Linked DNA regions of Tribolium castaneum. The protein of the gene in region 2 purifies or fractionates together with the protein of the main gene of each other region. This does not show direct contact. Links are inferred from orthologs where the notes say so. Each region holds a gene or a part of one and is shown on either strand. Other genes may lie near its edges.

Region 1 (10,284 bases), on a different chromosome or scaffold from region 2:
ATAATAACAAATGTTTTATAGCTGGACACAATTGTTTTTAAAAAAATGATGAAATTTTAATTCACTTATTTATTTTTTGATCAAAACATTTGCTTACAATAAATTTTTTGAGACGGCTTTCGAAAATGTGTTGAAGTAAGCTAATTTAATTACTAAAACTTGTCAAAAAAAATTCTCCCTAATTAATAATTAGATTTTTTAGACTATTACTTATATTATAGTATACCCATTAGCCAGCAAAAACTATAAGTTTAAATCTGATGTAGAGTACGTTATTTTAACATTTTTTAACATACCACTTAATTTTGTGAACTTTGTTTCATAAGCACGACTTACAAACACCCAGATCAAAAAAAAATATATTTATAATGTTAAGACCGGTTATGGTTAAAACTATTTATCTATATTATTGTGTCGATAAAAAATAATTTTGTGGTGAGAACTGAGGAAAAACATGCAAAATACGGGATGTTTACTATCTTAATATTATGTGTTGTAAAATTGTTATTATACAGTGTGAACTAAAGTAATAACCCATATTTTTGTAATTTATTTTTCAAAAAAATGTTCGGAGTGCTTCATTTATACACAATTCAACAAATATAAGTTTATTTAGTACTCATCAATGCTTTGAAGTAAATAGGTAAATTTTTCTCTAAAGAAAACTTATGTACTGTGTTTTTTGTACTCACCAGAAAGGAATGTAGTCACACTGAAAAAGTAAAGAAAAATGTAATAATTACTCAAAAAGCAGTAAAGACGTCATATTTTGCTGGTGCAATAAAGTCAAAAAGTAGCATTTTTGTAAATAGATTTCTAAGAGGATTCAAAAATCGAAAATAGGTACTTACGTATAATAAATACAAATTAACTCATAACAATAACGACTTCAAAAATAAAAATTGGAGAAAAGGTTTGAAATGCACCCTTCTATACGTTTTTAAGAGAACATTTTGTAACTAAATTTTATATTTTAAAATTAATAACTATAGTTGCTCTATTGTTTTGATAAAATATAACTAACTATTAAACTGTTTTTTATTTAAAAAACTATTATGGTGCAAATAACTAAGCTGTTATGCAATGACAACTCATATGCCAAAAGCATGCTATTGGCACCACAATAGACACAAAGAAACTGCACGTCTAATCTACAGAACTGATAGACTTACTGTCTGTAATCTAATAATCTTATTATCTATCTATTACAAGTTTATATACTAGGTGGGCAGCCTTATCGCGCACCTTAGGACGTTCAGGCTGGTGTGTAAAATTTTAGGATTTTTATTTCATTAGAAGTCGCGACTTTCTTGGGTGCGCGATAAGGTTGCCGCATCCAGTATAAATAAGGAAAACTGAAATAAAGCATGTTTTTTTAAAAATATTTACTTATAGCGAGCATTGATAAGATTATCAGATTTATTTAATACAGGATCATAATTTTATTTTTAGTACTTTGTTACACAAAGACTAACAAATTCTAGAAAAATAATAGTTTCATCTATCTATAAACATTAAACTCATATTTCAAGGCATTTCAGGCACAATATTATACAACCTGTTCCGTATAAACTCCACATTAGAAGTATTGAAAGTTGGTTCTCAGTCATAATCTGTCAAGTTCTGCCCAATGAAAATATTTTCAAGATGGCGGCACTTCCGATTATACCGGAAGTCGCTATCAACTTTTTTGTTTTAAGTAGAATGTTAAGTTTTTCACTACGTTATTACATATTATTACTTATTACTATACTTTCTATATACCTAAGTTTAACCGTTTTAGAGATATACTAAAAGTAGTTTAATTTTGGCCGATGTCGTATAAATGTATCAAATAACACTTTCCCATCTGCTACTAGTTTTGTCTTTGTTGTTACTATGCGAATGAGTGAAACAAAATACAAACCGTCAAGCGTAGCGAAAAATGGGAGGGTCTACCAATCGTCCCCAAACTATGGGATGCCACTTTGGTATTTGTTATGTTTATTGTTGTTAAATAAATTAATATGTCTTTTATTTGTTTGCCTGGTCAACCCTATAAACAAAATGTTTACTATTATCAACAAATATACATGTTAATTATGAATTTCAATTTGAAAGTGATTTTTAAATCCTAAAAACTTTTTAATGTGAACAATTTGTAAACAGCATTGTTTCTTACTCTCTTAAAAGATTATGTTATGTTTAATTTGTAATTACTTAATTTACTGCTACAGCAACTTTCTAACACATTATAATGGTATTAATTCCACTAAAGGTAAAAATAGGATTAGTTTCTTAGACACAAGTAATTGGTTGTAGATAAGGGTTTTCACGTTAGAAAGTTGGTTTTAAGGGTTTAAGGGTCACTTTACCCTTATCCTACTCTCACAAATTCAGTTGTTTCTACATCTGATAATAGATAGGAGGTATCAGTTACTTCGAAAAAATGTATGATAAACATAGTGGTGAATTAATAAAAAGTATTGTTAAGTTTTTGTTAAAAAACTTGGGGCCAGTAATTCCTGTTCAGTGCTACATAAGACGTGCTGCAGAAGCATTAAAAATTGCTGAGAACATTATAAAAAATATTATAAAAGAAAATTTGGGTGACAGTTAAGGGATTAAAAGAAGTATTGGAGAAAAAACACATCTACCAAGGCAGTTGGTCGAATTTGAGAAAGCTTTTGCTGTCTATTGGTATGTATTTTGTTAAATATCTTGTTAAGTACAACGAATGCATTTTTTTGTTTTAATAAAATTTAATTACAGTCGAACTTCTCTAACTCGAATCGTCAAGGGGAACGAATATTTGTTCGAATTAGAGAAATTTCGAGTTATAGAAACTGAAAATATTTTTTTATTAGAAATGAACATTATTACAGATTTGTATGAACATACATATATATTTTCTTTCTCAATGCATATAACTTGTGATCAGATTTTGACGTACAGTTTTTTTGATACAATTGGTTTCATAAAATCGCTCGATTTTATTTAGTGAATTATAAACAATATCAGTTGTCATATTGGCAGAATTTCCAATTTCCTGAGCAAACTGTACCGTTGACGCTCTGTTTTCATTAATTTTAGATAATGTACTCGACGGAATTTCATATTTTTTTTTCTTTTTCACCCCACTGTCCATTTCTTTTTCAATAGTTAGATGCCATTTTTCTAGAAAATGTGCCAATTTTTGCGAAACTAAAACTTGCATAACACTGCGCCGAATTGTGACGAATAATTTCGAGTTAAAGAAGTTCGCGCATGCTTTGTTCATTAAAATAATTTTGAGTTAGAGAAATTTTCGAGTTAGAGAAGTTCGAGTTAAAGAAAGCTAAACACATGTAAATAAGATTGGCAATGCAAGGGGAAACAAAAATTTTTGAGTAAGAGAGAAATTCGAGTAAAGGAAGTTCGACTTAAAGAAGTTTGACTGTAGTTAGTTAAATATAGTGAGGCCAATTTACAAAACACTTAATTGCAATCAAATTTTAATTCGCCTGATATAAACCGGCCCCTAGGTGTAATATGACTTATGAGTAAGCATATACGTATAATATAACATATTTTTGTTTTTACAGAGTTTCATTATAAAAGAGACTGCAATCGACGAGCTCTGTGTCAGAAGCCACAAATTGTTTCAAAAAGATTAATTTTTTTGAGAAAATACGAGGAGTATAAAACAGTGAATTTATACGACTTTCTCGACGAGACATAGATTTTTGCCAAAGGAGGAACTTGGAAAACTTGGAAAACGCTTCCCTAATATTTTCTTCAAAGACAAAATCAGACGATTACCACGACAACGTGTCTCCTTGAAAAGCTCTTACCGTCTTTAGAAGATCCGACAATAATTGTATTAGACAACGCATCTTATATTCTTAAATATTTAAGTTTTTTTGAAAATTATTGGATTTGCACCTGACACTTAAAAAATTCGGTAGCTTTTTTAGTTTGAGAAATTTCGAAATTATCTTTGAAGAATTAAAAGAGAAAGCCTATAAAATCTGTTTTCTAATGTGTTCAAAATTGGAAAAGAAGTGTAAAAAACCCAAAATTTTAAAGTTAAGTTTGTACAACTTCAAGTACCCATAACTTATATTAATATCCTAATTTTTATTTTACTAGATGGAGGAGAATATTTTTCTTTATCGATCTATATTAGCATTTCCTATAACCATCTATTATAAATACAGGCTAATCCAGAAATACTGAGACTGTTGGCAACATTGAATTTAAATTTTATAGAATACCATTGGAGTACGCTTCCAGTTAACAACAATTCAACAATCTTGTGGTATTGTATGTTAAATAATTGTCAAAAGTAATCGAATTCGGTTGCAGTCTTGCAAATTACGAGCCATTGTTGCCAACAAACTCAGTTTTTGTGGATCAGTGTGTAATATTCTCAGTGATAGTCCAAAACTAGCTGTATATTTGGTTGCCTATCCGGCAACAAATTTTGACCAAAATTGATTAATACAAAATGTAGACAATTCCCGAATAAGTCAGGAACATAAAATCAAATAAAGTGGAGGTTAATTTATCTTTTTATTATTAGGTAAACATTTAAACACAGTTATAAATAAATCATGTACAAAATTAAACTCAATTCTGTTGCTGTTGCAGCTTTAATTCCACAATTTCCACAATAGCATCTCTAATTTTGCTTTTTTCCAACCCCAAAATTTGAATTTTCTCCATCTGTTCTGTCACAAACTGAATTTTCCGCTTAAAGTAATCTTTAGCAGCATCAATATCCTAAAAAATTCAATCATTAACACACAATTTCAACATCAACATTGCTGCACCTTTTCTGCATAATATCTGGTTCCGATATCGATCAACACATTGTTGGTCTCGTGCAACTTTCCAGGCACGTACATCTTAAAAAAAAACTTTCATTAAAGTTCGTAAATATTACTCAAATTACCGATCCTGTTAACGGCACTAAAATCTCTTTTCCATCCGAATCGGGGCCAACTTTCTCCAGAGACTCTCCGGAGTTTTGAAATTTCGTCTGTGCCATTTTGAGGGACGCAAGAGATTCTTGAAAGAGCGACAATTCCTGGAAAAAGAGCAGTTTTTAGAATCATGTGCAAGGTTTGAGGTTAGGGCACATACCTGGTCTAACTGTTGCTTTAACGTTGATAACTGCTGGATATTTAGCGTCATCAGATCCACTTGCTTCATATTAGGCTGTTCTGTGGACGAAATTTGAGCCATTTTTCTAATAAATTAATAACTAATAAATGGACAAACAAGGTAGTGTCAAATAGCAATGGAGTAGAGACAAATTGCACTGTTTGAATGAACTACTCGTCGAAAGACAATGCTGTGTCTTTCATACAAGCACTGCTTTGCATTATTTTTTTAAAATTGTTTCCAGTTAAATAAATCTGTATACGTTTCGTATTTATTGGTACATATTAAAAAAATTAACAGCAAGTAGTTCCAATTTAGATACATTTAGTAGATAAATTGCATCTATTGGACTTTCTTGATTGGTGATTTTGTAATAACGTTTTTTGAACTTGATGTTTGTACACTTCAGTCAGTTTTATGATTTAATTGTGTTTTTAATAAGTTGAGAAGTCTTTTGAACAATGTACCGACGGTCAAACAGCAGCTCCCAACTTCCAGTCCCCAATAGGTCACGCTCAAAGTCTTCTGTCAGCAGGTAAAATAATGTAAACTTGTAGTACCTAATTTAGGTCCTGGTTTATTAAAAAAGTAAAAAATTACCAAAAGTACCCTTCTCCTAAATTCCTTCTTCAAGAAATTCAAATGAAATTATTGGCTCTAATTTGTTTTAAAGAGTTAGTGCAAAAGATGACAATGCAAAAAGGTTCAGGGCGAATTCCATGGACCGAACCTTAAATCCGCCCTTGAAAAGATCAACAAGTTCGTCAAATTTGAGAAGACCTTCGGTTACTCCATCAGTTAGGTTTTGTTTTGTTTCGAGAACTTTATCACTCTAATGCTGATTGTAGGTTTCTTATAAAAAATCAACGGTCATTACTCCGACTCTGGTAAAACAGTAAATACAATTGACATAACGTTAAACACCTATTTATTTCAGAATTCTGGGTTAAAACGATCAAATTCTGTAAGTGTTTTAAGTACGGATATCTAAAGATTAGGATACGAAACGATGTACATACAAATAAAACGTTCCCGTTTTTAATGGTTCCGCTAATGTCGCCAGAGGGCGCAGTTAAAAAAGTTTTCTCTCTTAATACGCAACAGAATTTCAAATACAGACTGATCCAGAAAAACTGAGTCTATTGGCAACACATTTGAAAGTATTTGTGCTCGTAATTTGTAACATTGCAACCGAATTCGATTTTTCTTGACAATTATTTGACGTCCAACTCCACAAGAATGTTAAATTCTTGTTAACTTGAAGCGTACTTCATTGGTATCCTTAAAAATTTAAGTCCAGTGTTGCCAACAGACTCAGTATTTCTGGATCAGTCTGTATTATGTGTACATCATATTAAAGGTTTTTTAATTCTACAGGCTAATGCGTTGAAAAAGTAAACTCCTTTAAGAAAAGGTTTAATTTATTTTTGAGATATTGCGATTGATGTAAAAGTCGCGTTATTTTATCAGTAAACTTCAAAATTTGTTTTAGGGTTTTGATATTTATTACAAAATATGAAATTTCAACTAATTTAACAAACGCCATGTAGTAGAACACTGTTGTTTTTAAATTATCAATGAATAGACTGATTTTGTCATATAATCCCCCATAGTTTATTGCTTTTGCCTATAGAGGCGTTGCTCGTGCCGTTTCTGTGGATGGTCTTTTGGTTGCTACCTGTTTTTGTCCCAACTAAAGCAAAGGACGGATTGTGGTCATTTTTAGTGTTGTGTAATTAGTGTAATTACCATAATATTTTTCGGTTATTTTAAAGAACCAGTGGCTGAAACATATGAGGGACAAAAGTTATTTTTCTGATAGGAGATTTTTTGAATTTGAAGTTTCCTTAACTATTTTTTTAAATAACTGCTTTGTAGGTTTATTTATTATGCATATCAATTTTGAACATTATGACAAAATGAGAAAATAATGTATTATTATTATTATTAAATCCATAATTTTTGCACATAAGCCATTATCTTGTTATTTAAGTTCGCCTTTTTCAGTGTAGTATATCACAGAATAAGTTTTTGTAATATTAGAGATCAATATTTGACACTGAAATTGGTATACAAGTGTGTAGTGCGTAATTTTTAAATTCTTTTTTTATATACAGTCTTCACTAAGTCAAAATTTTGAATTTTGATGAAGAAACAGCCACTTTTGTTTGTTTGGTTGAAAACTTGGGATTATGTTTTGTCCAAATTTAGATTTTTGTGTTTTTTGAATTCATTTAATTTTTTTCGAACATTGGGCTTTTCGGGTATTATTTCTTGATGTCGCTGGGCATTTGATTTACACAAGTGCAGATTCCTAATATCCAACCTGGAGGAGCTGCTAAAAATGGTTTTTTTTATATCAGGCCAACTTCTTGACTTTTTAATATTTTAATAGTCACTTTTTCTTACTTCACCCCTTACCTCATATTTATTAGCATTTCCGCGAAACATTACATATAATAAATTTTCCACCATAATTTGTGAACAAAAAAAAAAGTTTTACTGAGGTGATGGTGTGTATTTTAATAAATTATTTTACGTTGTTACTTATAACTAAACTCAAAAGCAATAGGTTTCACGTTAATATTTGTTGTTTTCGGTTTATAACTTTTATGTTACTTGAAATATTGCCATGTTTCATTATTCGATAGATCGACTTACAAGTACACAAACTAAAAATATTTTTACTGCACACAGGGTGTTGTATACAGGCTCGTGAACCAAAGTTATATTTTTTAAATCAAACCCCTTATATATTTTGCATAATTAGATTCTACGCAAAAAAAATAAAACTGTTATGGGTCTATCTCTTTTCGTTTCGGAATTATTTAAGTTTTTGTTATAAAAAAGACCAATTTTTGAAAAATCATTGCGAAGTCACCTATGAATATTTTCCGATAAATTTGCAACAGAAAAACTTGGAATATTCTGTAGTTTCAGCATTAGTCGACTTTTACTTGAAACACCCAGATAATGTACAGATGTGCCAAAACGTAAAAAAGTTGAATAACTCATATATTTTTCAAATGGAACACTATGTATTTCTTTACACGTGTCGATAGCATTTTTATAAGTTTTCTAACGATATGCGGTTTGTATAGTAAATTAGAAATATTTCCTAAAGTGTTTTTTTCTTTTTTCTTTTATATTTTATTATTAATTTTTGATGTGTAAAATTCATTGATGTATCAAGTAATAATTAAATTACTAATGTAATTAGTCACATTACATTAGTACATATCAAAAAATTAATTATCATTTGACAAATCAGATTCTAGGATAACAAATTTCTTGTAATAAAATACTTTTTTTTAATCTCGAAAAATGTTTTAAATTTGCTATGTAAACCCTATACCATTAGAAAGCTTATGCAAAATGCTATCGATACGTGTAAAAAATACATGGTGTTTTTTAAAAAAATTGACTCATTCAACTTTTTGCGTTTTAGCACACCCTGTACATTATCTGCGTGTTTCAAGTACAAGTCGACTATTTGCTAAAACTACAAAATATTCTGAGTTTTTCTAATGCATAAATAATCACTTCACAGTGATTTTTTAAAAATCTTTTTCATAACGAAAAGTTGAATAATTCCGAGTCGAAAAGAAATAGATCCAAATAGTCCACATAAAGTTATATTATTTTTTTGCGTAAAATTCAACTATGCAAAAATAATTTAAAATAAGTTATATTTAAAAAAATATAACTTTGGTACACCAGCCTATATACAACACCCTGTATACTGGGTGTGGCAACCTTATCGCGCACCCAAGATAATGGCGACTTTTGATGAAATAAAAATCCTGAAATTTTACTCACCAGCCTGTACATTGATAAGGACCATTCTCGATTTTTATTAAATTTTTTTGTTAATAAATGAAGTCGTAGCAGTTTTGTGAGTTTTTGGGCATTAACTGTTAATTTGACTACAAAGTTTTTAGACCAAATGAATCCTTACCTGCTAGCCCATCGAACGCTGGTATCAGAATTATAAATTTTTACTTGGTTGGTGAAATAATCGGTCTTTTTTATTTAGACGCAAACTAGACGCGTTATTTATTAGAAGATGATATAATTTGCCAACAAAGGGATCAGTTACCAGTAGCCGACCTTTTTGAAGCCCCTTATTTACAGTCTTGCAATAAAACTGATGCCTGCATTCAAATATCCTATCAAAATCTTTTACAATCTTACCCCAGTTACAGTTCACATTGTCACCACAAGTAGCCACTCAAATAAAAATAATTTTTAAAGTTAAAATGTAAAAGTGCGTTTAATTCAAAATCTCATTGGTGTTTTTCTTCGCTAATTTCGTAAACAATTATCTGAAGTGAATACGCGTGGTTTACTATAAAATTTAGAATTTGACTCTTTGGTCGAAAATTACTTTTTTTAAATTATTATTTTTATCTGCAAGTGAAAAATTACCAAAACATTAGGGGAGATACCTTTCGAACGTACAGTCAGGCGTGTAAAATGCAATTTTTTTTATTTAATTAGAAATCGCGATTTTCTTAGATGCGCGATAAAGTTGCCCCACCTGGTATAATAAAAATATTTGTAGTTTGTGTACTTTAGGTCGATTTATCGTATAATAAAAACGGCATAGCAATATTTTAAATAACAAAAAAGTTACCGATTACACACCCCTAGGTCACCCTGTATCTTTAACCGTATTCGCAGCGTCTTGAAAAATACGGAACGAAGCGCAATTTCAAATTTTATTAATTAACTTTTTTCTCATGTTTTTTACGAAAATGTTAGTTTTTCTCAGTCTGTCTGTAAAAAGTGCAAAGCTCAACATTTCTGCCTTTTTTCCAAGTAATTATTAAATTGATTGGATTTAAAACGATTTGGCGATTTTGTACCCGTTTCATCTCCTAATACCTTGTAATACTCCGTACTTTTAAGTTTTTTAACAAAATTATTGATAGAACCTCACAACACCTCGCTCGCGCAGCAAATCCCCCTACAAGATCGGTTCAGCAATAAATGACAAAAAGTGGGTTTCGGACCAATATGCCAAAGTGAGTTGCCCAAATTTGGCGATTGGATGAGAATGTTGGATGTTTTAGGTCTTGCGATTTCTCAGAGAACACCCCAATTGCCCTGAACACCTTCCCAACACCATTAAACCACCAACCATTAATTCATTTG
Region 2 (10,251 bases):
ATCAGTTGATTTTCTTTAAACTCAGTAATACCCTTAATTTTTTTCAATCACTACAAATGCAAGATAGTTCTTAAAATTAAGTTAATAAACCTGAAAAAGTTTTTTCTAAAGTCACCAAACTTAAGAAGTTTTTCTTTTTCAAAAAACGTAGCCACTTATACAGTTTTTCCTATAATCTTACATTATCGCTGACTTTTTTCAAAGACCTTTTTTTGTATTGTGTGCTTTTTCTACTACTACTCTTCCCAAATTTTCTATAATATATTCTGAAACTCTTAAAACTATTTAGAATGACGTACTTTGGTTACGTCGTAATTGTTTAACTCGTCCAATATCTACATTTCTTACACTTAACAAAGAAAAATGCTATAAAAAATAATAATAAAGTTTAAACCAATGCGTAATAATTACCTTTTTCTACACATTTCATTCAATCTTTAGTTTGAAATCGGGAAATTTTATTTATCTTATTTATTCAGAACACGGTAATAATTAGTTTAGATTTTTGCTTAACTGTCCAATACTATGTGCTTTACGCTATTTTTAAAAAGTAACCCTATTGGATTGGTATTTTATTTTCTTGGGGTTGGTGAAACCGACCCCTAGTAAATGATCGTAGTAAGTTTGGTGACTTATCTTATACATCGAAAGGTTTGATGTGTTTTTTGTCAAATTGAACATTGGGACTATGCTCAGAGTTAAAAAAATGTCCCTGTTAAACAAACTATCAGCAAGGCTATGGATTTTTTGACACAATATTAGTTTATAGTCACTCGGTATAACTATCTATTATGGCACCGTTTTTTTTGTTACGCAAAACGATTTCGTACTACTTTTCAACGGAAAGTTTATTTTAAGTAGACGCTAGCTTTTCCCCTCGCAAATTCTCTTTCCTCCTAGCGTACTTTTGCAGGACATGCGCTACACCCCCCCGTGGCCTCGAGCTCCGAATCCCTACTCTGCAATACCAGCGCGACCATCTGAGAACATCAAACCCTACCTCAAACCGCTCCCCAAGCCCCCAGGCAAGGAGTCCCCGAACCGCCACCACCGAAAACATCACAACGGCGGCTCCGGCGGCCCTGTCCCACCCCCTCATCAAATCCTCACACCTCTCCCACATCAAAACATCCCAGAGCGCACCCCCGAACTCCTCCGTAACAAAATCCAAACCCGACACAACCCCCTTCAAAACAGACACAGTCCGTTGCACTCGCGCCACAGCCCCCACTCCAACCGACACAGCCCTCTGCAGCGACACTACTCGGACGAGAGTCTAGGGGGGCTGTACACCACGGGCGTCCCCCAGCGCATCCACTCGTCGGCCGACGAGATCAGCTCCTTGAACCACTCGCCCAGCATCAGCAGCTCGGACGAGAGCTACAGCAGGACAACGGACGCTGATGCCTCCCCCTGTGTGTCTCCGCCACTTCCTGCAGACACTCAACAGTTCCTATTCCCGTCGGATATTCAAGTTAATCCGTGTTCGTCACCGGAGGTGTCGCCAAGAGCGTCACTGGACTATATCCCAGCGAATTGTTCCTTGAGGAACAGTTCGAGTGATCGGAACAACACTAAGCGGAATAATCTACCACCGAATGCGGTCCTGGCTCTTGCTGGGACTTGTAACACCGTTGATTCGTCGATTGTGACAAGTCCGCCGGTTCTCGACGGCGAAGACAGTTGTAAAGGGGAGAGTTGTGCCAGTTTTGAGTTTGTGACTCGACCAAAAACCAAACCAACTTCACTGTTAAGAGCAAATAGCGCCAACGGTGCGGTTTCAAAACTTCCAATCAAGCAGAAAAGTCTCGATAAGCGGATACGGAACGACAGCGATTCGGTCCTGGAGTGCAACAAACTGGCGGCAAACTGCAAAAGGTCCCCTAGTTTCAAAGAGGCGGAAGAAATCCGCGAGCTACTCAAGGAGGACGAAACGCGTAACCTTGGCGAAAAGAGTTTGAAGAAAGACGGCTGTTGTCAGACGGATAAAAAGGACCTGAGACGGTTCAAGACTTCACCGTCCGGCTTCCGCGACAAGATTTCCCCCAATAACAAGGTGAACAACACCGAGAACGAGAACCTGATTGGTCCGTTTGAGCGCGAGATCCAGAAACTGCTCGACGAGCAGAACCTCCTCCAGAACATCCCTCCAAAGTTCGAGCTGAACCAGCAGAACAAAGACCTGGCTTTGGAGCCGCTTGTAAGGTACGCTCCAAACAATAACAACCACCAGGTGGGGCTTGCGGCGATCCAGGCCCTAGCTCTAGGCTTGAGAGTGAATCCCACCGGCAGTGTTACCCTCCAGTGCATGTCCCCTCCCAGAGCAAGCAGCAAAGAGGGATCGCTTAAGCGGGGAGCGTCCCCAGGACCGTCCGAATCCCATAAACAGCCAAAAGTGTCGCCTCTTGACAGGTACAGGAACACTAACATCGTGTCTCATTTTAGCCTCACTCAGCTTCATTAACACTCATGCTGCTTGCTCGCACTTCATGCTTTGTCACGTACATTTCTGGCACAGGTCGAGCCTATTCGAGATTTTACGTTCCACTGGGACGCAAAATCTCGAATAAGGTGTCCTATTGCGAAAATAATTTTTCTGGTGTTGGTAGAGCTCCGAAGTCGGCTGAGGAAGCCGATGTTGACTGTGATATGCCGGAAGTTCACAAGAGAGACGACGACACTGATCTTGAGAGCTTCGAGCGCGAGGAGCAACGCATGGAGGAAGAAGCAGCAAGGGTGAGTCACTCGGTAAATTTGCTGAATTTGTTTGATTTTAAAATGGTGATTGTGGCAAGCAGCCTGTGGACCGAGAGTTGGTAAAATCTTCAATGTTTAACAATTACCTAAACAATTTGTATCAATCGCGCTTACAGGAGGAGGAAGTTAAGAGACTGTTGGAGGAGAAAGTGCAAGAAAAGTTGAGGAATTTGGAAAATGGGGGTTTGGAGAGTCAAGGGGCGGAGGGAAGCCAGTCGGAGTGGTCGGAGGATGAGGACGGGGGGGCTTCTGAGCCACTTTTGAATGATAGGGAATCGACGGGGTATACCACGGATGATCCAGCGCTGGAGAATATTTCGATGATTAACGAAACTGGACTCACGGATGCTGAAGGTGAGTCAGGTATTTCCACCAGCACAAGTTAGCAAACATTTTTTGGAAGCAAAAAATCAGTACCAATTTCCGCTGCGAATACGGTTTAAGATAAAAAACAAGCATTATTTCAAAATTCTTTGAGCTTGTCCTTCCAAAAGAAAATATGAGCGCAATTTCGAGTACTTAATCATTTTTGGATAAAATATTGACAGTTTATTCAAAAATAGATAGGCTTATTGACATTGAATATCAACTGATTAATGTAAAATGACGAGCTTGCAAAAGTAACAAGTAATTTTTAACAAATTTTAAAAGAACTACAACGTTTGATGGATAGATTATTTAAAAGTGCAGTGAAACATTAGATTTATATGAAGAATCATGCTTTTTATATTAGAAAGACGTTTGAATTGACTTATCTTTTGTGAATTATCTGGGACCTTTACATAATTATTCAGAATAAGGAGGATAAAATTTTATTTTATGAAACATTTACATATTATTTACGATACCACAAATTATTAAATCATGTTCATCATAAGACAAACCCTGGCCAAATAATCTGTTCTTTGTACATGCAGAATGACACAAAAACTTTGGTCCGTGTATTGGTTTATCTAGGAAAAAACCTATGATGAGATCAGTTGCTAACAGATTCGAAGATATTTTGATTTTAGCACAATGTAATATTATTAAATTATTATTAAATATTAAAAATAAAATTTCGAGCTATCAACTGAAACAGTCACTCTAAATGACCGTGTAGATATGTGGAATTTTTTGAGGAGAAAATAAATTCTTCTTTAACATTTATGCCCAGTTGAAAAAATACATAAAAGTCGTCCAGTTTCTTAGCGTCCACTCCCTAGTGTAAATTCCTAAAATTTCGCCGGTGTAACGTGCAAAATTGTTCAAAGAGCGACATACACTAGAGAATTACACCCAAATTACACTAGGAAATAAAAGTGTTCTATTATACCTACTTTAACTTAAGAATTAAGATTTTAAAAAACAACAACAAACTCTTGGGTTTACCGTAAACTTATGAGTATAAATTTATTATTACTTTTTTATTTTGGTACACCTGTTCTATTAGGTACTATACGAATATGTTGAATAAAGTATTAGTTGACTTGACTTGGTGGAAAACAACGATAGAAACGTTTATTTTTCTTATTTATTTATTTCTTTATTATTTTTTCTCATGATATAATCAGAAAATACGCCACGTGCTGTACGAAAAATTTGTTCCATTAAAGAGATTGTGGTATAGGCAAAATTTTGTGTCGTAGTTCATACATTTTTTAACATAATTTATAAAAAAAAGTCAATAAAAGATTTTCTTAGAAACCAGAAGCGTCTCGTCTGGTCTGAACTGAGGAAAAATGAATTATTTTTGTCAAAATCACTATGCTTTAGCTCAAGATAAGAGTAATTTTCTCAGAAATAACTGAAGGAAACTACTTTTTGATTCAAAATTAATTGAGATATTTTTATATTACAACTTGACCAATTTAAAATGTATTTATTTTCTATTACTTTTATTACTTGTACATCGAATGCCGTGTCCTTATTTCACTTTTGTTTCTATAATTAATTTAGTGTATGTCTTGCTGCCAGCTCTAATAATTCTTTTTGCAAAAAAAAGGCTTGTTTTTTACAATACTTTAATTGGCACAGTCAGTAGGTTCGTACGTTTTAACGTTTAATCTGGAGTTTTGTTTTTATCAGCCTTTCTATTAATGAAAAATACTACTTCACAAGCTTCTAAAAGCAAAATTATCCGCAGTGTTTTGTCAAGTTTGAATTTAACTTTATCTGAACTTGTGGGTGCAGCAAGAGAAAATAATTTGTTGGTGTACTTTCAAGGCGCCCTGAGCGACGTGAACTCTGCTTATAACGACCACAACCACGAGGGCGACATGGACGACAACACCAGCATGTCGTCGCGCGCCTCCTCGCGCATCTTCGACTCGGACGCGATGATGTCTCTGGATTCTCTAAGTGCTCTCTATGACTCCGAATACGACAATTGCTATCGAACTGATGACGATCTAAATGCAGTACCTGACCTCGACAGACTTAACTATTTTTCAGTGCCTGCGAATGACGTTCATCTCGCAAATATCCGATCAATGAGTGAGAGTATTACTAGAAACTTTGGACAGCCTCGAAGTGAAACGGATCCAGATAGTGATGTTTAGGGACTAAAATTTTCTATGATTTGGTGAATAGACGATATTAATCTGAATGTACTATATTTGATTAGAGATGCGTTTACAAGATCGGAGGGTGATTATCTCGTTAGATGGTTTTGATCAAAACTTTTTCGTATTTTGGTTGATATTAGACTAGATCGCAATGGTGCTTCTAGCGCGAAGGGACTGATACTTTGTGATTTTTTATTAGGCAGCTTTCTACCAAGCTGGATATCACCCACGTAGTTGGTTTTAACCAAAGAATGCAATTTTTTACATTAGTGATATCTTTGTTGTGTATTGAATGATGATTTTATTACTTAACGGGAAATAGTGGCTCAACAATTTGTATAAATCTTGCTAATGGCGTCTCTTATGTATATAATCCTGTTTTAGTTGATTTTATTTATTTATGGAACATATTTTATTTGTTACCATCGTGGATGCAATATTTTGTATTTAATTATATAGTTTATATCATTAGTAATTCTAAATTACTGGTGTACTTAAATTGAGTTTTACACTTTCTTTCTCTCTTACGTACGACTTTTGTTACAGGATACATCAGATGTATTATTTGTTAATTCCATCTTAAACCGGATTTATAATGGAATTTTCTTTCTGTGATCACCATTTCTAAATGTAGCACTGAATATATTGGTGGTTTGTAAATATTTCTATTTTCTTCGAATATCCGATCTTGGTGTTTATTATTATTGTTGTTCTCTTTGTATTTCCTATTTTCTGTAACTATATTTTCTACTATTATCTGTAAAGACTAAAATTTGATCATAATATGTGTTGGAAAATTTTTAATGATTTATTAAATGCTTATAAAAGTAAACTAAATACATTATCAAAACTGCGTTTTTTTTTACTTCCTTCGGCAAAGTGACTCTGTCCGGTTCTGTCTTGTACCTTATGCCCTGTTCGGTGCACTTTTCTAAGCTTGTCAAGTTTTCCACAATTTGAAGTAACTTAAAAAAACTGTTGAATTAAATACAAAAATAAACAACTGATTACAAAACCCTCAAAAAATATTTTCACGATGTGTAACTAATTTAAATTTAGCCGGTTTAAACTTCGCAAATTACAGAAACCTGTAAATTATTTAATCTGTCAATTTGTCGTAACCTAACCTTATTTTTTGCATCTGATTTCCATTAAGTGTATCACAAGAAATTACATTTATAAACCTTTTATCTAGCTTTGAAGGGAAACAAATCCATTAGAAACTAATACAAATGGCGGGGAGCAAAGGCACATTTCAGCCGGATTCTGACGTCCACATTTCCTACGAAGACCAGCAAAAAATTAACAAATTTGCACGTTTGAATGCCAAACTTGAAGACCTTAAAGAAGAAGTTAAGGTGAAAGAGAACGATCTGAAAAGTTTGGAAGAAGCATGTGACGAAATTGCGTTATTTGATGAAGAGGAGAAAATTCCTTATTTGGTAGGGGAAGTATTTATCCTGCAAGACACTGAAACCACACAGCAGTGCCTCGATGATGCTAAGAAGAAAATTGATCAGGACATCAAGGAATTGAAAAGCCAATCAGATGATGTAAAAAGCCAAATGAGCGACTTGAAATCACATCTTTACGGAAAATTTGGAAGCCATATTAATTTAGAAGCTGAAGAGGAATAAATTATTTATGCGGAACGTTTTGGTATTTATTTAGAAATTTCACGCCTAATATTACTAATTTGTGACATTATTTCAACTGTTGCTTGACATTTTGTCACTTTACTGTCATTCCCATGTTGCCAGTAAAGATTTTTGTGTAATAACGATTGTAATAAAATATGAATTAACAAATGTTGTTTCTTATTTTTTCTGTATTTTCATAAAAACCATCGTTTTTTTCGTAAAATTTGTGGCGTTTAATTTTTCCGCCTGACTGTAAGACAGCCATTTTGATTTTGTCAAGAAGACGCGAATTGTTTTTTATCTTGTGAATTATAATATCTACAATTAAACACTAATTTTCTGCTTAATCTGTTAGTGACCTAACACAAATATTTCAATAATTCAATTTTTTAGTCACCCCTTCATCAATTTACGTATTAGATACGTGTACACCGGACTTCGCGCCAATTTGACAAAACAATTGTCAACTGTCTCGTTTTTTGAGGTTATGCTGTATTTTTTCGAATTCAATTTTACAAGAAAAACTTTTAAAAAATAGTCACAACCGAAACAATGAGCAGTGAAAGCAGCGAAGAGGATGAGCCCCGGCCGTCCCTCCACCGAGTGGCAAAAAAATCGACGTCCAACCCCAAACCCTACCCCAGCCGTATCAGAACCCCCGGGTCCCAGAAAACTCTGACGGTAGCCAACCGATTTTTGGAAAATTTTAATCCTGAGACTAGCATTCGCGAGAAACGGAAATTGAATCGCAAAATCAATCCGCCAAGCAACGTTCGGAGGCCACCAGGGGCTCTCTATGACGAGAATGGAATCCACATCGCCACTTGCATTGATCTTTGCGATTGCTTGAGTGAAGAGTGCGTGGGATGCTTTCTCCCATGCCCCAAATGTGGCTCAAGGAAATGCGGAATTGACTGCCGTGTCCATAGGAAATATGTCTATGATCAGCTTGAGTACCATGGGTACGATATTGTGGTGAAGAATCCCTTATTTAGGAATTGAGCTTTATGGGTTTCGGTGATTATGATTGAGAATTAGCGAATTTTGTAATATCGTTCATATCAAATTTATTGTCAGTGATTTCGTCTATATTTTGTATTTTATTTGTGTTCTTTAAAATGTTGTATTCTATTGACTACATTATAATAGTTAATAAATAATAATAAACTTATGTTGCAGTTTTATTTACCCTATGTTTGAATGTTATGGTATAGTTGTGATACATATACAGAAACAATTTTTTATAGTCACCCGGTAGAAATTTATTTAAACTAAAAATTAACATAAATAATTTCTTTGGTACTAAAACTCAACGTTTAGGCATTTTCAAAAGTGGCTACAATTTTTACATTTTCGTTAAAATTTCGCTTACCGTCGTTTTGACACTTAACGCATGACATCAAGTCAACAACATTTAATTGGTTGGTTTGCCTCTACAAATCACAGTAGTACTCGGTCGATTTGAAATTGGTAAAATCTCCCCATTTAAAGCAATTTCACATTTTTTACAATAAATAAAAATTGTTTTACTGATTTGTTTCAAAGTTTTTTGTATAAACAAAAAAATCTTTTATAAAATAAATAAAGCAACTTCACCCCAAACCTTTAGTTAAAAAAATCGACCGATTTATTCATTATAGGCGACAAGTATATTTGCATATTTTTTTAAAGTAAACCATTGGTTGAAAAATAAGTAAAATACAAAATTTAATTTCCTTGTACTGATCTAAGGGAATAATCACCTTCCGAAGACTAAAGTTTTCTTTGCATTTTATTTATTTAATACTTACTCCACTTTTCAGCACTATGTATCTCATGAAATGATTCTCAAGAAATGTAGGTAAGAAACTGGTGTAATGTGTAATTATTATGCACAAAATAGTAATTACGGCAAAGCCAATTAAGCAGGTGTGTTAAAATGCAAATAAGTAAACAGTTTAATTGAGCAAAAAACATAATTTTTGTCACGTGTCACTTTTTTACTACATTCTGATTTAACCAAAATAACAAATTATTTTCCTCCATTTTGATTTATTCTTCACTTTTATTGTATAAACAAAAATATTACTGTTATCAAAATACCACACACGTCTAGAACTCATCAAGGCGGGCGGAACATTTTCCTTTCATATAATTCATAAATAATTCTTATCTTTCGTTAATGCATTAACGGTTTTTAATTTAACGTTTTGATCCCAAGAAACCACTATAAACAAGTTAAAAAGTAGAAGCGTGAGAAGAACGTAATGTGGTGGGATTCGACAGCTACTTAAAAATAAACAATAGATTATAAAACAAACACTCGGCTCCGCCAACGAGTTTAAATGCAATTTAAATTAATTTTCTCCTCAATACATTATACCAGGACAGGAAGAAAAATTAAATTTTCTTCATGAAATGCAACTTCGATCCTCACAAATTTTAAATTTATGTGAAGCATGAAACTGTGTTATTGTTGAAGGGTTTCCATAACGACGCTTTCTATGGGTCGAAGTTGATTGCCAGAAGTGACAAAAACCCGCATTTTCTTGTGCTTATTTCTTATTTGCAAAGCTTTTAATTATTGTTAAATAATCATCAGTTAAAGAATCTAATTTCATATCTAAACCTATTTTCAGGATGATAACTGGAGGTAAGAATGAAACAAAATAGTTGTGTATTTTACACCGTTTTATTCCCTGTAGACGCAAAAGTGAGGAAAAGCCTCGAAATAAATATAATTTTTGTGTTAAGAAATTGGACTTTGAACATCATGAATTTAGTACCAATAGGATGAGTCTTATCGACGAAACTACACTTTTAATTTTTTATTTATTTATAATTAAATAAATGTATGTAGGTACATGTAAATGGTTAAAATAGGTAGGTTTTAAAATGCTCTTATCGAATCCGTCCTAAATTAGAAATAAGTAGGTATGACTTCATAGGTAATTTTAAAATTTTAATGTAAGTATCAATTAGAATTAATTAACTTAAATGCATATTGCCTACACACAGATAGATACATTAACGATTTTATGAAAGTCCCAATGATTTAGTTACTTTTACGAGCACTTTTATAAAAAAAAATATTAATCTGAATTCAGCACTAAATTATCGGTTTTGCTTTACAGGAAGCCATAAGCGGTAGTAATATAATAGGGGTAGCTTATTATGTCACATTAAGAAGCTTACAGATTTAAAGACCGTAAAATTTATTCCCTGCTCTCATTACCTATAACTCTTAAAGACATAATTAGTAATTAAACTAGCGCTTGGATCGAGACTTGATAGCAGTGTGCAAGATATGATTTTCAATGAAGCGTAAA
Region 3 (10,243 bases), on a different chromosome or scaffold from region 2:
GAAACGATTAAGACGTTCATACCTATTATTAATTAATCATGTTTAATGGTATTACTTTCTGTTTTAAAACTAATAAATTGACGACGTCGCATTTTACCAAATTACTTTTTTAAATAAAAGGTTAAAAAAATATGTGAAATAGGGATCTGTGTTTTTTTGTTTTTATGAATTTAAGCACGATTTTTTTTTAATTTCTCAAATTTCCTTTTCTTTTTTCGATTTTCCGATAGTTAGTTTTTGAGCCATGTTTTCTTAAGAATACTCTGAAAGTAGTGTTATTTTTATCTACTACAAGCCTTTAAGTTCGTTATTCATTTTTTTTTCATTGAATTTTTACTAAAACAGATAGAAAAATCTCCAAATTGAGTTAATAATAAATTATTTTTGCCTTTATTCGAGCGTTTAGAACATTTTTCAGTTAGCAACGCAATTATTTCGCAAAATTTTGATGTAAACAAGCCGCAAAATCGTAGAATCACGTCAAAAATTGTGTATTTCCGAAAGTGGTCTTTTTTCTTTTTTTTAATCTTTACTTGAATTCATTATTTTTTAAGCAATATTTTGTCAAAAACAAGAAAAAGATAGCATTATTTTTATCTTCGACGAGCACGTTTTTCAAATATTTTTTTAGTAAATATTTGCTAAAACAGAGAAAAATTTTCAAATGGCATTAAAAATAATAATTATTTTTGCTTTTATTCGAAAAATTAGAAAATTAGAAAAACATACAAATTGAGTCAAAATTAAACTTATTTATGCATTTTTTTGGGCGTTTAGGGCATTTTTTAGACAATAACGTTATTATTTCGCAAATTTTTGTTGAAAAGAAGTCGTTAAAATCGCAAAACAAAAAATTAAAAAGAAATTTTGGAGACATTTTTTTTTTTTTAATTGGATTAAATTGATGTTTTTCCTTCCTTTATCGAATTTAGTTCGTTTATTATTCATTTTTATATTTTCGTAAGTACGTCCTTAAGCTATAAGCTCGAGTACCTACTCGTATAAATTCTTATGAGATTCTACTAAACCACCAAATTGTGTTAAAAATTAGTCTACTGAATTTTTTAAGCGTGTTATTTGGATGTTTATATTTTCACAGAATTATACCGCAAATTGTGTTATTTTATTTACAAAAATAACTTATTTTTGTCTTTTTAGAGCCAAAGGACGTTTCAGAGGTAAAAACTAAGTTTTTTTCTGAAACATATCGCTTATTAAACCAAAAATTAAAATCAAATTCTACCAAAATTAATGTTGTTTTTTGTTTTATTCGATTTTGTCCGTGTTTATACAACGATGGACACGAGTTTGAGAACGACTTTACTAGCCATTAACGCGAGCTGTATACACTGTTTTTTTTCTACAACACGACCTGTCTTAAAAAACTACAATTTTTCTCATATCATTGTGAAAGTGAGATGCAATTTTTCATTATAAACGATCGGGGAAAATGTTATTAATAATCAAATAAAAAATGTGCCGACATTTATTATAACGATAAATGGTTTTTGTACATTATTTGGAAAATAAAAAATCTGTACAGTAGGTATATTGCAAATGAAATACATTTATTTGTAATTAAATTAAATCTGAGCCACCACAATACGATGCAACAGCACCGTTCAACAATTTTGTTTGAAATCAAGTCTATTTCAAGTCACACTGTTGTCCTGTTGGAGTCTCCAGCCAGTTTATCAACTAGCTAAAAAATTGGAGATATTATTCCAAATTAAACTGTTTCGAAATTTGAGTACCTTGCTAATCCCTGGGAAATTTAAAAATGTTCCTAAAATGGGTACTCTTCTGAGAAAGTTGATGGCAACTGGGAAAAAGCCACTAAAATTATGCTTTGTCAATTTTACAACTCTCAGACACAAGACACATTATACCTAAACAATAATACAAATCCGTAAGTTTCAAAGAGCATTCCAACTAACGGCCAACCTACAAGCACTATCACTATTCCACCAAAGAAGGAGATTGAGGCTTTGATTTTGTGCCTTTGGAAAAAAAATCTAAACGTTCGTTCTAATCCTATAACACATGCCAATCCAGCTATAAACAATATCTGCAACAAAACGAAATGTGATGTTTTTACATGCGCTAACAGCAAGAAATTATTTACTTACATTTCCTAACGCTAATAAACTCTTATCGAAGAGTAATAAAACACCCAAAAATAGGAAAAACATCCCAAAGCCAGCCAGGCCGACCCCAATTTCTGTAAAAAAAATATTATCACCAAACATATTTTGGCAATTGTTTAAACATACTTTGAGTATCGGTGACCTCAAACATTTTCTATTTTAATTTGGCGATTTATATAAAGAAAATTTTAAATTTAAAACGTCTGTGACATAACCTCACAAAACACATCCACGTCACTGGTATGAGTTGGAACTTTTTTCCACTGGCTTTAAATATTACTTTAAAGTTGAAATAGTCAAAGAAAATTGCACGTTTTACTTATGATCACGTTTTCTTACACTTTAGCGCAATATTTACTTTCTTGATCAATCATCTTTTGTGTTGTTAAACATTAGTGTTTTTTATGTTGGCTTTATTGGAGGCGCGAAATTTAAACCGAGACAGTTTTTTGCAAAATCAATTTATTACATCAGTTTTAGAATAATTCTATAGGCTTTGAAAGAGGCAAACACAAGTGATGGAATTATAATAGGAATGAGAATTTGTTTGTACCATATCTTCCTGTTTTTTCTAACAATCTGCAACAGTAGAAATTAATTATAGTTCAGACGTGTTGCAAAACTACCTTTTGCTCAAACTCGTCTAATTGTTTTTCTAAAGATTCTACACATTTTTGCAAACAATGGGCAGCTGGTTTCAACTGAACATTGCACACAATTGTATCCCTTCTATTCACTGCAATAGAAAGAGCAGCTAAATGTTTCGTCAAATGCATAGACATTTGGGCTAAAACTAATTGTACGTATTTTTCATCTATCAAAACCTCTGTATGTTTTCTGCAAAAAAAACATTAGAAATTGTGTAATTATTCGGTTGTAAAAAATACTCTGCAGGTATTTGTAAATTATTAGCATGTTGTAAAACAGCTAATCGAATTTCTTCCTCCTCAATACCCAAGATTTTTAAATCTTCTTCATTGAACAATTTGAGAGTGAATGCATCAATGCTGAATTGTTTAAAATTGCTTGAATATTTTTCAGCTTTCGATGTGCACAACACCGTGTCGAGGATATTCATTATTGTTATTATTTGTTTATTTATTTTAACTTCGTTTTAAAAATTTGGCTAACCTAACCAATCTTTTGCACATTTGACAATTGACATTCAAAACTGCGCGGATTTTAAACGTCAATTCCTTTTTACCTGATGTTCTTTAAAATTATTAGTTTAATAATAATAATTTAATAATAAGTACTGTTTTTCTTTTAAAGGCGTTAACCTTGTGAAACAGGACTCTGAAGTCGTATTCATTTTTGTGCTGAAGCGGAGCAATAGAAAAACAAGGCAGCTCCCTTCAAATTTTAACATTTTTCGAGATATTTGAAAACAAGGTCAAAATGCTTAAAATCTGTTGTGTGCTGAAGGGGCCTTCTTACTGCTAACTTTACACAAAATGTTGCACCCTTTCGTGTCGGCGTTTGGTTTAATCAGTTCCACGTTTTCCTTTCTTGGGGGTGGTAAAAAAGATGAATTTCCCACCGAAGACGGAATTTTGATTTTGAACCAATTTAATTTTAAAGAGGCGGTCAGTCATCACGAACTTTTAATGGTTAAATTTTATCTGCCGTGGTGTAGCCATTGCAAGGCTTTTGCCCCCGAGTATTTAAAAGTGTGCAAGATTCTTGAGAAACAACAATCAAAAATTAAACTGGGACAAGTGGACGCGACAGTCGAGAAGGCATTAGTTCGAGAACAAGAAATTGGGGGTTTTCCAGCACTGAGACTGTTTAAAGGGGGCTATCCCATAACGTATACAGGGCTTCGTAAAGCTGAACACATTGTAGCATGGTTGAACAGAAACAGTGGATAATTGACTAAATAAATAAAGCGTTAACGAGATTTTTATTATTCTTTCGTATTACAAAACGTGTTAATAAATAAGTGATTTTTTCGCAAAATTAAGCATGTAATGCAGCCTTCACTTGCGCCTGTTGAAACTGATGTTGCAGCTTTTGGAGCGCCTCCCTATGCACATCTTGCTTCTTTTCAATCGAAGTGATCAAATCATCAACCCTCGAAATCTCTTTCTTGATATAATCCATTCGTTTGCCCACATTTTGTCTAGCTTCAACAAGTTCAGTTTTGATAAGGACTGGACCAACGGACTTGTACACTTTAGCATCCTTAGGAAGGATTTCTAATTCGTCTTTAACAATCATATTTTCGTTTAACTGACTGTCTAATTGTTGTCTCGTTGAAATCGCCTTTTGCAACTCTGGAAAAGTTTGGTTAGGTTGGACAAAAAACCAGATTATTGTACCTTTTTGTGTGTTTTTGAAACTGTCCAGCTCCGACTGGATTTTTCTTTGCAGATCTTCACTCATTGCTCGGTTTTATAATCTTGGAGTAAATATAAAAGTGTATCTTAATTTTTCCTTTTTGGGCAAACGTCAAAATCAAACAGGCCGACCACCCACACGTCTAGGGATTTCTACGTCACCAACTAGATATACTAAGGACAAAAAATTTATTTCGCTCTAAAAAAGAATAATTATCCTGTATTTCGTTAAACTCAGTTAGTTACTGAAAATAAGGGGGCGATTTACACTTATTACACGACCCGTATTAATACATGAATTAAATAATGCAACTAACTTCACCCTAAACAAAACAACGCAACATAACCGTTAAAATTTGAAATTTCTTCGTGCTTTGTGTTTTCAACGAGTTTAGTTGTGTTATGCTTGTGTTCCGCAGTTTCTTGTATGTTATGTATGTGTAAAAATGACGGAAAACAGAGGAAAGAAGCGCGAACACCCAGACAACAGCCAAGTCGAAGAAGACTTGAACTTTTCGGACGAAGAGGGTATTTATGTGGATGATATTTACATTCCGCCCCCTTTGAAACGTAGGAACGTCGAGAAGTCGCAAACTCGCTTAATAATCACAAAGATCGTGAACAATTATTTTAAAAGTTACGCTGAAAATGTAGTTTTGGGGCCCTTCTCTAAGGTACGTTTGTGACGGTTTGGACAAGAGACAATGAGTGTTTTGTAGTGTTTTAATGCCATCATTGGCCCCAACGGTAGCGGCAAGAGCAATGTCATTGATTCGATGCTGTTTGTGTTTGGATATAGGGCCACTCGCATGAGGTGCAAAAAATTATCAGTGTTGATTCACAATTCTGAACGGTATCCTAATGTTCAGTCTTGCAATGTGGCGGTGCATTTTTGTGAAATCGTAGATAAGGTAAGGCTTAATTTTATGAAATTGTGAATAAGTGATTGTTTTTAGCCCGGGGAAGAGTATGAGGTTGTTCCAGGTAGTGAATTTGTCGTGTCAAGGACTGCCAATAGAGACAACAGTTCGTTTTATGAGCTCAATGGACGAAGAGTCCAATTTAAGGAAATTGGGAAATTGTTGAAGGGGCATGGAATTGATATCGACACTAACAGGTTTCTGATTTTGCAGGTTTGCGATTATTTCTCCTTCAAGTGCTTTATTTTTGAATGAAATTTTGTTAGGGCGAAGTTGAGGAAATCGCAATGATGAAATGTAAAGGAGCAAATGAAAACGAAATAGGAATGTTGGAATATCTGGAAGATATCATTGGAACACACAGATACAAAGTAAGAAGTTTAATTAGTTTAACACAAAAAAAAAAAATTTGTTGTAGAAACCCTTGGAGCAATTAAATGAGAGAATAGAATATTTGTCGGATTTGCGCACTGAAAAACTCAACAGACTCACATTGATTGAAAAACAGTTGGAACAACTCAAGGGACCTATGGAAGAAGCGCTTACTTTTCTGAAAACAGAGAACAAAATTGCAGTTTGTAAGAATTTCTTGCATCAGAAAGAATTGTGAGTTTGTTTGGAATGAGTGCCATTTATAACCCGTTTTTTCCAGACATGATTTAGAAGCTGAAGTGAAAGAAGTGGAAGAAGACAAGGCGAAGTTAACACAAAGTCGTGACGGTTTAATTGCAGAATTGAAAACCATTTCAGATGAAAAAACTGAAAAAGAGAAAATTTTGAAGCAAGAAGCTGGGTAAATAAATCGTTTATTCAATGCTATTAATAAAATACTCATTTTATAAATTAAATCTGATTAATAAAACAATAGTTTAATCAATAAAATGAATCAAAAGAATAAATAAAATATTTATAGCAACGCTTTATTCACTCTGCCACACAACCGTTTTTTCTGTATCAGATGATACATTATTTCTTTATCAATTCTTTTGAGTACATAAAATAGCACTTTACCACAAGCGTACATAAATTGTTTTAAATTCATTGTATTCAATAATTTATAAAGTTACAAATTCCAACATGTTAATTTTAAGGATTAACAATAGCTTTTTTTTTTAAACTTAATGTCTCTGCTATAGAAAAATCAAAGTATTATTTTCGTGAAATAAGTCTTTGTTATTCTTGAACTTAATCGTAAATAAACAATCTCTTTATGGTCTTGTATAATAAATAACTATTTATTCATCTTTTTCATTTAAATATTAAAATTTAGGTTTTCAAAAAGCGAACTGAAATGTAATTGTGATTTAACGTTCTAAAAATATTGAATGCTATACGTGAATAAAGAGCTTTTATCCCTTCAAAAAATTATTTAAACAATTTTGTATTATTCACTTAAATAGCTATTGAAACATTGATTTGTTTTAACAATTTTTTTTCTAGAAAATATGAAAAGTTGCAACAGAAAAAGGATCAACTCAAGGATGCTTTCAATGCGGCTGATAAAAAGGATGCCCAACTACAAGCCGAAATGACAAACACTAACAATAACAGGAAAAAATTTAAGCAACAGCTGGAAGATGAAAAAAAGAAACTAATTAAGTTACAAAAAGTGCCTGAAGAAAATGCAAAAGTAATGACAATTACTTGTATTTAATTTTTGTTAACTTTTTTCTGCAGCTCATTGGAGAGTGTGAGAAGCGAGAGCGTGATTTAACATCACAGCACGAAAAATTACAAGCAGAGAAGGCAAAATTAATGGAAAATATCGGTCATGAGACGAAAGATCTACAAGTGAAGAAAGAACAGTTTGAAACTAAACTTGGTAAACTCAAAAAGACAGTTGACACAACAAAAAATGAGGTAATTTATTTTCTAAATCCATACTTTTAATTGGTTTGTTAAATTATATATTGATAAAAATTATTTTTTTTATTATGATCCGGTTATAGAAAAAATAGTGTTTGCAGTTTGCATTTAATATTAATTAAAACACGAATATCTACTAAAGTTAAATGAGTACTTGTTAATACGTACTATTGTTACTCATTTTTTTTAGTATGATTTGGCTTCCACGCAATTAAATTTTGCCCGAAGCAGTGAAGAAACCGAACAAGAAAAGCTTAACCAACTTCGTGAAACGATTAAAAACAAAGAGGCTTGTATTAAAGAACGTTCTGGAGAGGTGTCGCAACTTAAAAAGAAAATTCCTCTTACGGAAAAGTCACTCAATGACGCGCAACATGAACTAGACGCAGTTAAATCCGAACAAAATCAAATTGAACATGAAATTAGACGACAAAGGATGTCTTTGGAGGAGACTCGTGCTTCCATGAACAGTTCCAAGTCACGTGGGAGAGTTTTGGATGCTTTGATGCAACAGAAGCGTGAAGGGAAATGTCCAGGGCTCTATGGACGTCTTGTAAGTAAAAAAAATAAAAGTGGGACTTCTGTGAATGATATTTCCTTAGGGTGATTTGGGGGGCATTGACCAAAAATATGACGTGGCCATTTCAACTGCGTGTGGACCATTGGACAATGTTGTGGTTGATACAGCAGATACAGCTGCATGGTGTATTGATTTTTTAAAAACTCACGGGATTGGAAGAGTTACTTTTATCGCACTTGATAAACAGGAATATTTGAGGGAACGTGCCAACACCAGAATTCAAACGTGAGTCATTTCAAAATAGGATTGAAATGAGATACAGATTAAACGGTTTTAAAATGATTAAATGCAGTCTGTTTACTAATAATTTCTTGGAAAAAAGCTGAAATGTTGAGCTTTAGTAACATTCCTGATAGGCTGAGAAGAACTCATGACTAAAATTTTTACGAGAAACATGTAAAAAAAAATTGAAACTACTTTCCAATATTTTGCAATACGGAGAATAAATATCGGGAGGCGACATAATCCGATTCGCCGTTTCCAAAAATTTAATATTTTTTTCAAAAACTGTTTCGGTGTTTGATCAAGTGTCAAGTAATTATCAACCTCAATTTTATTTTGCTTGAAAATTTCCAACTTTTAAACTTTACAAAATATTTCGGAAAATACTATTAGTAGATAAAATCCGCTTGCAGATTCAGGATCCCTGGAAAATTTTGTCTGTGACAGGCTATTTGGATGTTTGAAAAAATCTCTTACTACTTAAAAATTTTCATTTAAATTTATATTGACATACAAAATATTTTTTTTTATTTATTTGGTCGCTTGATATTTCTATACACTTCCAAATAAAAATTTAAACAATTAAATTTAGTTTTGTTACAGGTTTTAAGTAATATCAGTTAATTTAATAATCATACATTTTTTAATTTAAAACTATTAAAATTTAAAGACCATTCGTTGCTGCTGCTAGAACAATAACTAAAAATCGCTAGTTTTTCAATTTTTACGTGTTTTAAATTTTGACAGCTTTTTAGAATAGTTACAGAATAGCGTTTCGGCCATCCAATCGTTCATTTTGAGATTTATTTATTTTTGTATAAAAAAATGTTGCCATAATATTGTAGTTAAATAACGCCAAGTTCAAAAACACAAAAGGACCTTTTTACTTGAAACTTACATAATTGCACTTTCGAACAGACATAAAATTGACTATAAAATAAGTTGTTTATTTACTTGATATATTATTATTTTATTTTACAAAGTTAAGTAAATTAAAACAAGCGTTTGTCCTGCTTGTGGGTAAGAGGAATTTTTCAAAACTGTTTTTTAAAAACCTTAACAAAATAAATAACAATTACATTAAATTTTCTTGTCTGCTTATTGGAATTTATAAAATTTAACTGCAGTAATTTAGGGGACAGTTTATAAAACACGAATTGCTTAAAACAATGGTACTTTTTGTGCAGCGACTTAATATTAATTGGTTCATTTTAATTATAGGGAATTTTAGACAAATTCAGAAAAAACACACACAGAACTGAAATGCAAAGTATTAAATTGCAAACGCTGATTTCAGTGTGATTATTAGTTTTTGAGATTCAGAAAAAATACACTTTTAAGAGATTTAATTTGTTAGTATTAAACAAAAGATTCGAAAAAACTTAATAACTTTCGGTTTTTCTGCAGAAGTTTAAACAAATCATAAGAAATAAAGTTAACGTAAACACTTTATCAAAATCAGTATACTATTTATAAATTATAAGCAATAATGACAAATTTGTGTGTGTTCCATATTTTTCAAAAGGCTACGGTTGATGAAAGAAAAAAGTGTGGGAAAAAATATAGAAAATAAATTTTGAAACGTATTTGTCTTTGAACGTATTTGTGGCCTAAACCTTTGAAGATATATATTTGATCTTGGAGAATTTTTTAAAGGAAATTTGATTGTCTGCAACTTTTTTCTTACATTTTTCATTTTTTTTCTATCTTCATCAGTATTCGCAGCGTTTTGAAAAATACGTGCCAGAGCCCAAATTTAAAATTTTGTAATAATTTTGTCGTGTTTTTCATGTTGAATTTGTATACGTAAGGTTTTTTCACCCTATTAAGAAAGTAAAGCACAACAATTATGCATTTTTCTCTAATTAGTGCACTAGTTAAATTTAATGTAATTTGAATTTCAAAACGAAAGCAAATGTTAAAATTTCAGACCTGAAAATGTGCATCGCTTGTATGACCTCATTCAAGTGCAAGACGACACAGTCAAAACTGCCTTTTACTACGCGCTGAGAGACACTTTAGTTGCGGACGATTTAGATCAAGGCACCAGAATTGCATTCGGTGCCCAACGCTTCAGGGTGGTAACACTGAAAGGGGAAATCATGGAACCTTCCGGTACCATGAGTGGTGGTGGAAAGACAGTAAGCAGGGGTCGAATGGGTCGAACCG

The links.
Region 1: the proteins of Pfdn4 (region 2) and Pfdn5 purify together in Homo sapiens (affinity purification with mass spectrometry; 5 studies listed by BioGRID and IntAct, counting the BioPlex papers as one, with this or other methods). This does not show direct contact. The link is inferred for Tribolium castaneum from reciprocal best matches to the Homo sapiens genes PFDN4 and PFDN5.
Region 3: the proteins of Pfdn4 (region 2) and Pfdn6 purify together in Homo sapiens (affinity purification with mass spectrometry; 6 studies listed by BioGRID and IntAct, counting the BioPlex papers as one, with this or other methods). This does not show direct contact. The link is inferred for Tribolium castaneum from reciprocal best matches to the Homo sapiens genes PFDN4 and PFDN6.

What each region holds. Positions count from the first base shown.
Region 1 is NC_087400.1:9,618,240-9,628,523, reverse strand, and holds Pfdn5 (prefoldin subunit 5), read right to left. Parts: upstream 5,288-10,284; 5' UTR 5,209-5,287; coding exon 5,107-5,208; intron 5,051-5,106; coding exon 4,916-5,050; intron 4,869-4,915; coding exon 4,794-4,868; intron 4,744-4,793; coding exon 4,591-4,743; 3' UTR 4,515-4,590; downstream 1-4,514. Other genes in the region: uncharacterized protein LOC103314387, read left to right, coding at 5,589-5,662, 5,801-5,924, 5,976-6,014, 6,065-6,091, 10,062-10,154, 10,203-10,284. UniProt on the Homo sapiens protein: Binds specifically to cytosolic chaperonin (c-CPN) and transfers target proteins to it. Binds to nascent polypeptide chain and promotes folding in an environment in which there are many competing pathways for nonnative proteins.
Region 2 is NC_087395.1:16,372,274-16,382,524, reverse strand, and holds Pfdn4 (probable prefoldin subunit 4), read left to right. Parts: upstream 1-6,399; 5' UTR 6,400-6,535; coding exon 6,536-6,940; 3' UTR 6,941-7,111; downstream 7,112-10,251. Other genes in the region: rut (Ca(2+)/calmodulin-responsive adenylate cyclase), read left to right, coding at 914-2,412, 2,610-2,736, 2,799-2,816, 2,874-3,111, 4,963-5,297; ARL14 effector protein, read left to right, coding at 7,496-7,945. UniProt on the Homo sapiens protein: Binds specifically to cytosolic chaperonin (c-CPN) and transfers target proteins to it. Binds to nascent polypeptide chain and promotes folding in an environment in which there are many competing pathways for nonnative proteins.
Region 3 is NC_087394.1:25,212,883-25,223,125, reverse strand, and holds Pfdn6 (prefoldin subunit 6), read right to left. Parts: upstream 4,670-10,243; 5' UTR 4,533-4,669; coding exon 4,469-4,532; intron 4,424-4,468; coding exon 4,107-4,423; 3' UTR 4,032-4,106; downstream 1-4,031. Other genes in the region: vesicle transport protein GOT1B, read right to left, coding at 1,648-1,698, 1,755-1,836, 1,890-2,068, 2,130-2,221, 2,274-2,298; glu (structural maintenance of chromosomes protein 4), read left to right, coding at 4,933-5,160, 5,206-5,397, 5,443-5,619, 5,673-5,777, 5,825-6,012, 6,059-6,199, 6,847-7,036, 7,084-7,266 and 3 more. UniProt on the Homo sapiens protein: Binds specifically to cytosolic chaperonin (c-CPN) and transfers target proteins to it. Binds to nascent polypeptide chain and promotes folding in an environment in which there are many competing pathways for nonnative proteins.